2 linked regions of the Danio rerio genome follow. The protein of the gene in region 1 binds, or shares a complex with, the protein of each later gene. Links are inferred from orthologs where the notes say so. Each region holds a gene or a part of one and is shown in the gene's direction. Other genes may lie near its edges. The genes, in order: ccnc and med20.

Region 1 (4,520 bases):
TTAAATCTGTTATAGGCTACTGATTATAACACAGTAAAATTATAATATTTTTCTTAAAAACACAGTAAAATATTTAATTATATTTTAGGCTACATCATTATTTGATTGTCCGGTATGAGCACTTACAGTACAGAACATTAATTTTACATTACATTTGTTAGGCTACAAATAACACAGTGAAATACTATGGTAAAGTTTTTTCCTAAAATTAAAACTTAGTCAAATTTTTTATTATTTATTTAGGCTACATACGTATTTGATTGTTGAGTATGAGCACGTTTATTAGAGAACATTAAATATATTACATTAGATGTCTCTTTACCTGGTCATGCGTGATTTGCGTGTCCCGGACAGCGCTCTGCGGCCGGTGCTGCGGGAATAGCTGGCGGACCGGTGTCTAGTCGCCCCGCGAGTTGGAGAAGGGCTGGAGACCCGGACCTGGAGGGTGGACGAGGCGGCCAGGCCTCCCTCAAAGTGCCTGCGGTAAGAAGACATCCTCTCCGGGCTGTAGCTCATGTTGAAACCGGTGGTCCTGAAACAGAAGCGTGTGATTGTATCCTCACACTCATTCATGCGGTAGTTTTATACCTGCTGTCCCGCAGAGGAATCTCGAACCTCGGGCTGACTTGAACTTAACCCGCTGCTGAACAATCTGACGGGTCACCGCGAAGAGTTTTACCGCAGTAAAAATAGAGGAGCGAGTTTTCCTGATGCCTGAGATCTTTATTAATCACATTCTCTGCACTAAAAGTGTCGAAAACTTTTTGGAGATTGACAGTAGCCTGGTGTTGACTTCATCGAGGAGGTGCATGCTAATTATTAATCATAAATTAACGGTTTATGGTCACTGTAGCCTTGTATATTGGGTAAAAACAAATGATAATGTAATAAAAAAATGACAATGTAAAGTTTGTTTATGGCTGTCAAAGACAAAAAACATGAGAATCTATATTAATACAAAACAATATCATTATATTATAATATATTGCATTATATTATATTATATTATATTATATTATAATTAAATAATAATATTGTATATTATATTTAATTATATTATATTGTATTATATTATACTATATTTTATTATATTATATTATATTATATTATATTATATTATATTATATTATATTTAATTATAATTAAATTATAATATTGTATATTATATTTAATTATAATTATATTATATTATATTATATTGTATTATATTATACTATATTTAATTATATTATATTATATTATATTATAATATATTATATTATATCATATTATATTAAAATAATTTCGATTAGATAAATATAAAGTTGATGCCAGTAAAGTCCGCAAAAACTCTTCCGGAACTGATGCGTTTGTTTGTTTCCTCCCGGACCGTTTTAATCTTCACATTGAAGTTCCACGGAGTGTTTTTTCTGTCGCGCTCCTCATCTGATCTGAACGGAGCATCGATTATTTTAAACACAATTTAACAGCACATTAAGGTTTATTTTCTACCTCAAGATGGCAGGGAACTTCTGGCAGAGTTCACATTAGTAAGTATTTTCGTATTTACTACCTAAATCACGCACAATAAAGGATTTTTGGGGGTTTTGCTGCGGTTACGGGACCATAAGAGATATAAAAAAACATTTCAATTGTCATATTTGAATTATTAATGCGAACAAAGTACCACATTTTGGTCATAACCAAGACTCAAATACGGAGGTTAGATTATTTGACTTTTATAAATCTAATAGTTTAAATCGTTGACTTATTAGCTTTAGCTGTCTGGCTAGTGAAGAAACCACAGAGAAATTAATTTGTGAATCATTTGCATAAATATCGGTTATTTACTACGTGAATTCATTTTCACACATTAAATTTACATTTATAAACTCAATTAAAGTAATGTTTTAATGCTAATATCCAGATATGAAGTGACTGATACATTTGTTGTTTGACTTGTAGAGTGTATTTATTACACGTAAATATTAATATATGTGTGTTACACTTTAATGATTTGTGAATTGAAAGTGTCTTTGTTCTTTTCAGTCTGCAGTGGGTTCTGGACAAGCAGGATCTGATGAAGGAGAGACAGAAAGATCTCAAGTTCCTCACAGAAGAGGAGTACTGGAAACTGCAGATATTTTTTGCCAATGGTTTGATGAGAAATTGCTTATTTAGTTGTTTTGTTTTCTCTTTTCTGAATCTGAAACTGTATTTCTAGACTAAGTGCAAAGCAAGACCAAAATATTCAACAATATAGTATTTACTCATGTTATATGACAATGGCAGTTCATTTATATAGCATAATTAAAAGCAACCCATGTTGACGGATGTGCTTAACATTAACTAAAATCCACAAACAGCAAGAATAAGTCAAAAACAAGTAAATAAAAAGGCTAATTAAAAGCTTTTACGTGGTTAAACGCCAGTAAAATATGAACTAAATCTTATTCATGTGTTCAGTGCTTTGTCAAACAAGATAGTTTTTATACTTGGATTAAAAACGAAACAGATTTGCAGCTAATCTAATGGAAGACGGGGAAATCATTCCAAAGTGTAGCAGCAGCTGCAGAGATTTCAATCTAAATTTAGGAATCAATAAAAGTCTCTCATCTGATGAGCGATCAATTAATGATAGATGGGTTTAAGAGACAATGTGCAACAACTTTTATTAACATGAGTTTTTATTATGCATAGTAAGCATATTAACTATGAGTAAAGTGTCTACTTTCATGCTTTAAATAGCTTTTGTGAAAATATTGTTTCCTCATACTTTGGTGTAATAGATAAATATATATTTTTCATGTTTGCAAAGGTATTTATATCATTTAAATGTAGTAATAATTTAAAAATATGCAAACAATAGGTGATCTTGTTCAATTTTGTTGTATTTTAAATAAGTTTTGTTGACAATTGGTAAATCTTTTTTGTCATTTTAACATATTTAAATAACAATACTTTTGGGCTACACTGTTATCTGTTAATATATCATCAGATGATTGATCTTTCAAGATTTATTTGATGTTAGACATTTTAGGGGGAGTTATCTGTAAATGTATGAAAAATAATGGCACTTTATGTTTTGATGCTTAGAGCCTTAATTTTTTGACCATATGACCAAGTGTTAGGTTACCACATATACTGTGGAGCGTTAATTGAAATGTATATATTTTTTTCTGTTTTGTATTCATTTGTATTTGGTTTTGGGATTTAAATGCAAAGCTAACTTAAAGCCTAAAAGTTTAAACAGCTTAAACACTTTAAAATGTTTAATTCGTCCTCTTGTGACAGTGATTCAAGCCTTGGGCGAACACTTGAAACTCAGACAGCAGGTCATCGCCACGGCAACTGTCTACTTTAAGCGTTTCTATGCCAGGTGAGCAGTGCAGTGCCATCATTAAAAGCTTGTTTTCTTCTAAAGATTCCTCTTCTAGATTCATCTAGGCTCTTGTGTTTTTCATGTAATGTGGTGCTCTATTTTTGTTCTGTGGCTTTCATTTAAGTACTCTTTAGTTCATGAAATAAAAGGAAAAACTCTTGGCTGTTTTTTCAGGTACTCTCTGAAGAGCATTGACCCTGTGTTAATGGCCCCAACATGTGTGTTTCTGGCCTCTAAAGTAGAGGTAAATACTCTGTCTGTATATAATATAAAGTGCTTGGCATAAATGAGTAAAACATTTTTTGAAAATAAATATTTTTTTACCATGTCTCAGTCATCATAGGTAATAGATTTTGGCATATTTGAACAAAACAGATTTATTAAACTGATATATTTATTAAAATATTTTTTTTGTCACCAATCATCTTTAGAAATAGAAAGATAATGCATGTACAGTCATGCAAAACATTGCAAAAAAATGACAAACTGAAATTTCAACTATATGTTACATTTTTTTTGTTTTTCTTGATTTTTATTCTATTTTTTACAATTTTATTTAATATTTGTCTTATTATATACATTTGACCTAATTTTTAGACCGTCATCATACTTTTTTTTTAACTTTTTATTTTTTTATATTTTTAGCTCCAGAATTTGACTTCAGTACTGACTAAACTAATGTATATGCACAAATATAATATTGTAAATCATCCTATAGAAAATATTAACTTAAAAGAGAGATTTGTGAGGGGTGTACTGAGCACTGTAAACACAATATTTATTCAGATTTCTGCTGAAAGATGTTTGAAACTGCATTTTAACACTAAAATTCTGCTGTCAACAGGAATTTGGTGTCGTTTCAAACACTCGGCTTATTTCAGCAGCAACGTCTGTGTGTAAGTGGGTTATATTTTACAATCATAATTTTTTTTTATGTTAATAAAATATATGTATTTTATATTATATTATATGTTATATGTTATTATTATGTTATTATATGTTATATTATATGTATTATATTATATGTATATATATAGTTTAAATTGTACTTGTATATTTTATAATAAGTTATTTTTTTGTATATAAAGAGAGAAAAGTCCCATCTGAGATTTTCATCTAAAATTAGCATTTTTCCTCAGGCTTTTGTGTGTCACTTCAG
Region 2 (4,447 bases), on another chromosome or scaffold:
TGGACAGAGATAGACAGACCGACACAAAAATGGATAGACAGATGGAAGGGTAGACAGAAAGACAGACAGAAAGATGGATAGACAGATAGAAGATTAGACAAACATACAGAAAGATGGAAAGACAGACAGACATAGACAGACGGAGGGACAGACAAAAGATTAGACAAACAAACAGAAAGATGGATAGACAGAGACATAGAAAGATGGACGGATACACAGATGGAGGGATAGACATATGGAGGGATAGACAGAAGGACAGAAAGATGGATAGACAGATGGCTAGAAAGAGAGAGATGAAGGGATGGACAAACACAGGATTAGACAGACCAGACGAACAGAAAAATTGATAGAAAAATGGACAAAGATGGAAAGATAGACAGAAAGATGGACAGACGGATGAAGACAGAGGAAGGGATAGACAAACCGACAAAAATGGAAAGACAGACAGAGAGATAGAAAGAAGGAGGACAGAAAGATTGATAGACAGAGGGATAGAAAGACAGACAGATGGAGGGATAGACAAACAGAGGGTTAGACAGATGGACAGACAAATGGAGGGATAGACAGATGGGCAAAAAGACAGAAAAATAGAGAAATAAACAGATGGAGGGATAGACGGACACAAAAATGGATATACAGATGGAGGGATAGACAGACGAACAGAAAGATGGATAGACAGAGGGATAGACAGATGAAGGGATAGACAGAAGGACAGAAAGATGGATAGACAGAGGGATAGACAGATGAAGGGATAGACAGAAGGACAGAAAGATGGATAGACAGATGGCTAGAAAGAGAGAGATGAAGTGATGGACAGACACAGGATTTGACAGACCAGACAAACAGAAAAATTGATAGACAGATGGACAGACGGATGAAGACAGAGGAAGGGATAGACAAACCGACAAAGATGGAAGGACAGACAGAGAGATAGACAGATGGACAGAAAGATGGATAGACAGAAACAGACGAACGGAGACAGATGGAGGCATAGACAGATGGATAGAAAGATGGAGGAACAGACAGACAGATTGACGGATAGTTTGATAGACAGACATATAGATACACAAATAAACAGACAGAGAGACAGACACACAGTCAGTCAGATGAGAGACAGACAGACAGTTGGTAAAACAGGACAGACACAGACAGAGAGAGAGTCAGTGAGTGCAGCATTCACCCAGTCTGGTCGCCGGTGTCCTGCGCTCCTCCTCGGCTGTGTCCTGCAGCTCCTCCTGCTGTCTGCGGGCCTGCTCCAGGATCCTCCGGCTCAGCTTCTCATCCACGAACTCCTGCTGCTCCTCCTGCCCGCGGCCGCGCTGCTTCTGCCGGCCGCTGCAGCGCACTGAGTCCCGCTGGAGGATCTGCTCGGCCAGGGGCACCGCGCCGCCGCTCCAGGCCTTCTTCACCTTCGGCATGATGACGGTTATCAATATTAGTATTATCTGCCTGTCTGTCTGAGGAATTATGAGTGTGAAATCGCGTCTGAACACATGACGCGCCGCGGAGAGCTGCACACACGTGGGTCTGAGAGCAATGGCGCTGAGAGTGTGTGTGTATACATAGATATATGTCTGTAGTGCTGCTCTGAGAGCAGTTGGAGAGATGAGCGCTGTTTTGGAGCGCGCAGAACTACTGATCCCAGAGCGGCGCTGCGTCACACTGTTTACTTCCGCTCGAGGCTCGGCAGATCTCGGCTCTGTTCATTTTTAGCGCGGCTAATGTTTTTATATTACATGAATTTAATGATTGTTAATATTTTTATTTTATCGAATTTAAGTGTTTTACTTTTACTGATTTCGCGTGTTTCACGCAAACTCGAGTGATCCGGAAGTAAATACCCCGGCTTGCGGAAGTTTGTCTCGAAGAAATGGGTGTAACGTGGTGAGAAACACTTTTGTTTATAAAGTATTGTCCTCAAATAATTAATATTTTCAGTTGTGCTTGTTTTGAGTCTCTCTGGTGCTCCTGATGCTCCCGTTCAGCGCTGTTTGAATGCACAGAGAGGCTTTTGCTCCTCATTCATCAGTCTATTTATTGCTTTATACATGTTTACATCACATGTCACTCTTAAAAGTACTTTACAAAACTGTTATTAGTGTTGTGTAGAACACAATGAAGGCCTGTTATTATTATCAGGTGCACGTGTTCATTCAAACTAACATTTAAGATGAAATATAAGGATATTTGACGAGGTTTTCCCGAAGTTTTGTATAAAAAAAAGTGTAAGATTATCAGCTTCATTTACTGCAAACATATAAAAAAACATTTAACAAGTTTTGTAGTTTACAAGCACTCATTTAAGTAGTGTTCAGGGAGTCCGCGGGGTCTTAAAATTTATTAAAGTGCCCATGAAATGAAAACTAGCCTTGTTGTTGTTGTTAGCTCACAGTGCTAGTTCTGTGGTGAATAATTCATCTGTGCATATTATTGAGAAAATGTAATAGTTTGCCCTTCTAATCTTTAATTGAAATCTGAAAATGCTCTTCCTGTTTGTTTTCAGTTAAATTATCAGATGGTGTGTTTTTGAGAGAGGGGTCTGGCTGCAGACCTGGTGCAGATGCAATCTGAGCTGCATCCAATACTTTAAGCTGTGCTTACACTGGGCTTTTCTCACCATAGACTTCATTCATACACGCGAATGCGTCAGACTGGAAACGCAGGGTCATGCGTCAAGTTTCGCAGGTCACTTCAGTGCAAAGTTCAACCTTGGTGAAGTCGGACCTGCGAAATCACATCACTTGACTGCGGGAGACCAATCGAGGATCAACATGAGCTCTCTGGACAGAAATGAAACACATGCAGCAATCACTCGCTTTATTAATGCCTAATCATCTTGTTTAATCCCGCCCCTTTTCGCAGCGCCGTACGGCGGACTTTCGCACACGCAAGCTCTAGTGTGACTGCAGCTTTAATGTGCTCACCTAACCCCACCCCTCAAAGTGACCTCACTAGCTCAATTGTGTCCGACATTGCATCACTAAGAGATGCAATCTCAGCTTGCATCACAAAGGCTGCATCCAGATACTATTGGTTTTAGGCAATGGGCGGGGCTAACATTCATAACCACGCCCCTCCAGCTGTCAGTTTTGACAACAAACAGAAATGCTGAGCTGGGGTCCGTACGTTGCTTAAATGATCTTGATGATTTGGCAGATCCTTGATCTGTTCATCTTGATAACTGATCTCTGGCTAATTTGGTTCCTCAAACAGGTTCGTGAATTAGATTAAAATGTCTGGATGCACATCTGAGATCAGCGTGTGTTGTGAAGGGCAGATTTATCCATCCCCAAAATCATGATCAGCAATGCAGCGATTGGCTGACGGCACAGCAGCGCAATGACATCATCTGATCAATATTCAATTCTCCATGTGAGCAAAATTATTTAAAATTCTTAGTAAACGGTTTGTTAAATATGACACACAATAACTTCCCATGTTTGTTGTGAGCTGCAGGCTTTTTTACACATTCATGTGTCAAGAGTATTCAGCAATTTATTTTATTGTTAGAGCAGATTTTCCTTATTACAGTCGCCATATTAGTATTATAGTAGCCGGTTTCTTAATTGGTATAAAGATTAACAGGATGTTTAAATTAATTTTGCATCACAAAAGCATTTTACTATTGGTAAAGATGTCTGCAACTTTTTTGAAGGCATTAAATCCCAGTCATATTACCGAATACCTGCATGAATGTATTATTCCTTTATAAAAAAAGGTTGCATTAATTTTCTCTTTGATCCACCAGGTGGCAGTATTTGTACTTTTATTTCGGAGTGCAGATTGCATAAGTTTTATTTATATATATTTTAACTTATATATATATATATATAGTTAAAAAATATATTTACTATTTTCCCAAGTGTATATAACTATATAACTACTGTAATAAAAGATCAGAATTCGTTACATAGTTTCAGTATTATCTTTGCTTGAACTGAACCGATCTTATCCTGTTTATATGAAACAAGCTGCTGCTCCCCAGCAGGTTTGAGCTACCAGAACTATTGATAGGACAACAGCTCTCAGATGAGTTTTGAAGAGCGTAACGATCCTGGAACATGTCAAATCGTCAATAACCAAATCCGTTATATAATAACTGAGTAATGCATGTACGAAGAACGGACCCCTGGGGTTTGGTTTTCATAGGTGAATTACTCAAGTATATCAATCTATCTATATAGCTAGATAGACAGACATTACACATATGCACACACAGACTCGCACAATTATTTTTATTATTTATTTTTATTGATGTTTACACTGATCAGAATGATCTTGCTTTAGTAAACTACCATTTTGAAACTGTTTTTAATTGTAAATAAATTAAACGTCTCAAATGTGTGTGTGTTTGTGTCAGTGTTTGTCAGGTGCCAGTGGCCGAGGGTAAGAGCGTCCAGCAGACGGTGGATCTTCTCCACAGGAAGCTGGAGCAGCTGGGAGCCGT

Evidence for each region.
Region 2: ccnc (region 1) and med20 share a complex: the UniProt entries of both Homo sapiens proteins name them as parts of the mediator complex. The link is inferred for Danio rerio from reciprocal best matches to the Homo sapiens genes CCNC and MED20.

The regions. Positions count from the first base shown.
Region 1 is NC_133179.1:6,195,498-6,200,017, reverse strand, and holds the start of ccnc (cyclin-C), read left to right. Parts: upstream 1-1,407; 5' UTR 1,408-1,497; coding exon 1,498-1,529; intron 1,530-2,028; coding exon 2,029-2,135; intron 2,136-3,273; coding exon 3,274-3,358; intron 3,359-3,535; coding exon 3,536-3,605; intron 3,606-4,205; coding exon 4,206-4,257; intron 4,258-4,520. Other genes in the region: ngs (notochord granular surface), read right to left, coding at 323-573. UniProt on the Homo sapiens protein: Component of the Mediator complex, a coactivator involved in regulated gene transcription of nearly all RNA polymerase II-dependent genes.
Region 2 is NC_133197.1:573,686-578,132, forward strand, and holds the start of med20 (mediator of RNA polymerase II transcription subunit 20), read left to right. Parts: upstream 1-1,644; 5' UTR 1,645-1,870; coding exon 1,871-1,884; intron 1,885-3,213; exon of another isoform or gene 3,214-3,372; intron 3,373-4,360; coding exon 4,361-4,447. UniProt on the Homo sapiens protein: Component of the Mediator complex, a coactivator involved in the regulated transcription of nearly all RNA polymerase II-dependent genes.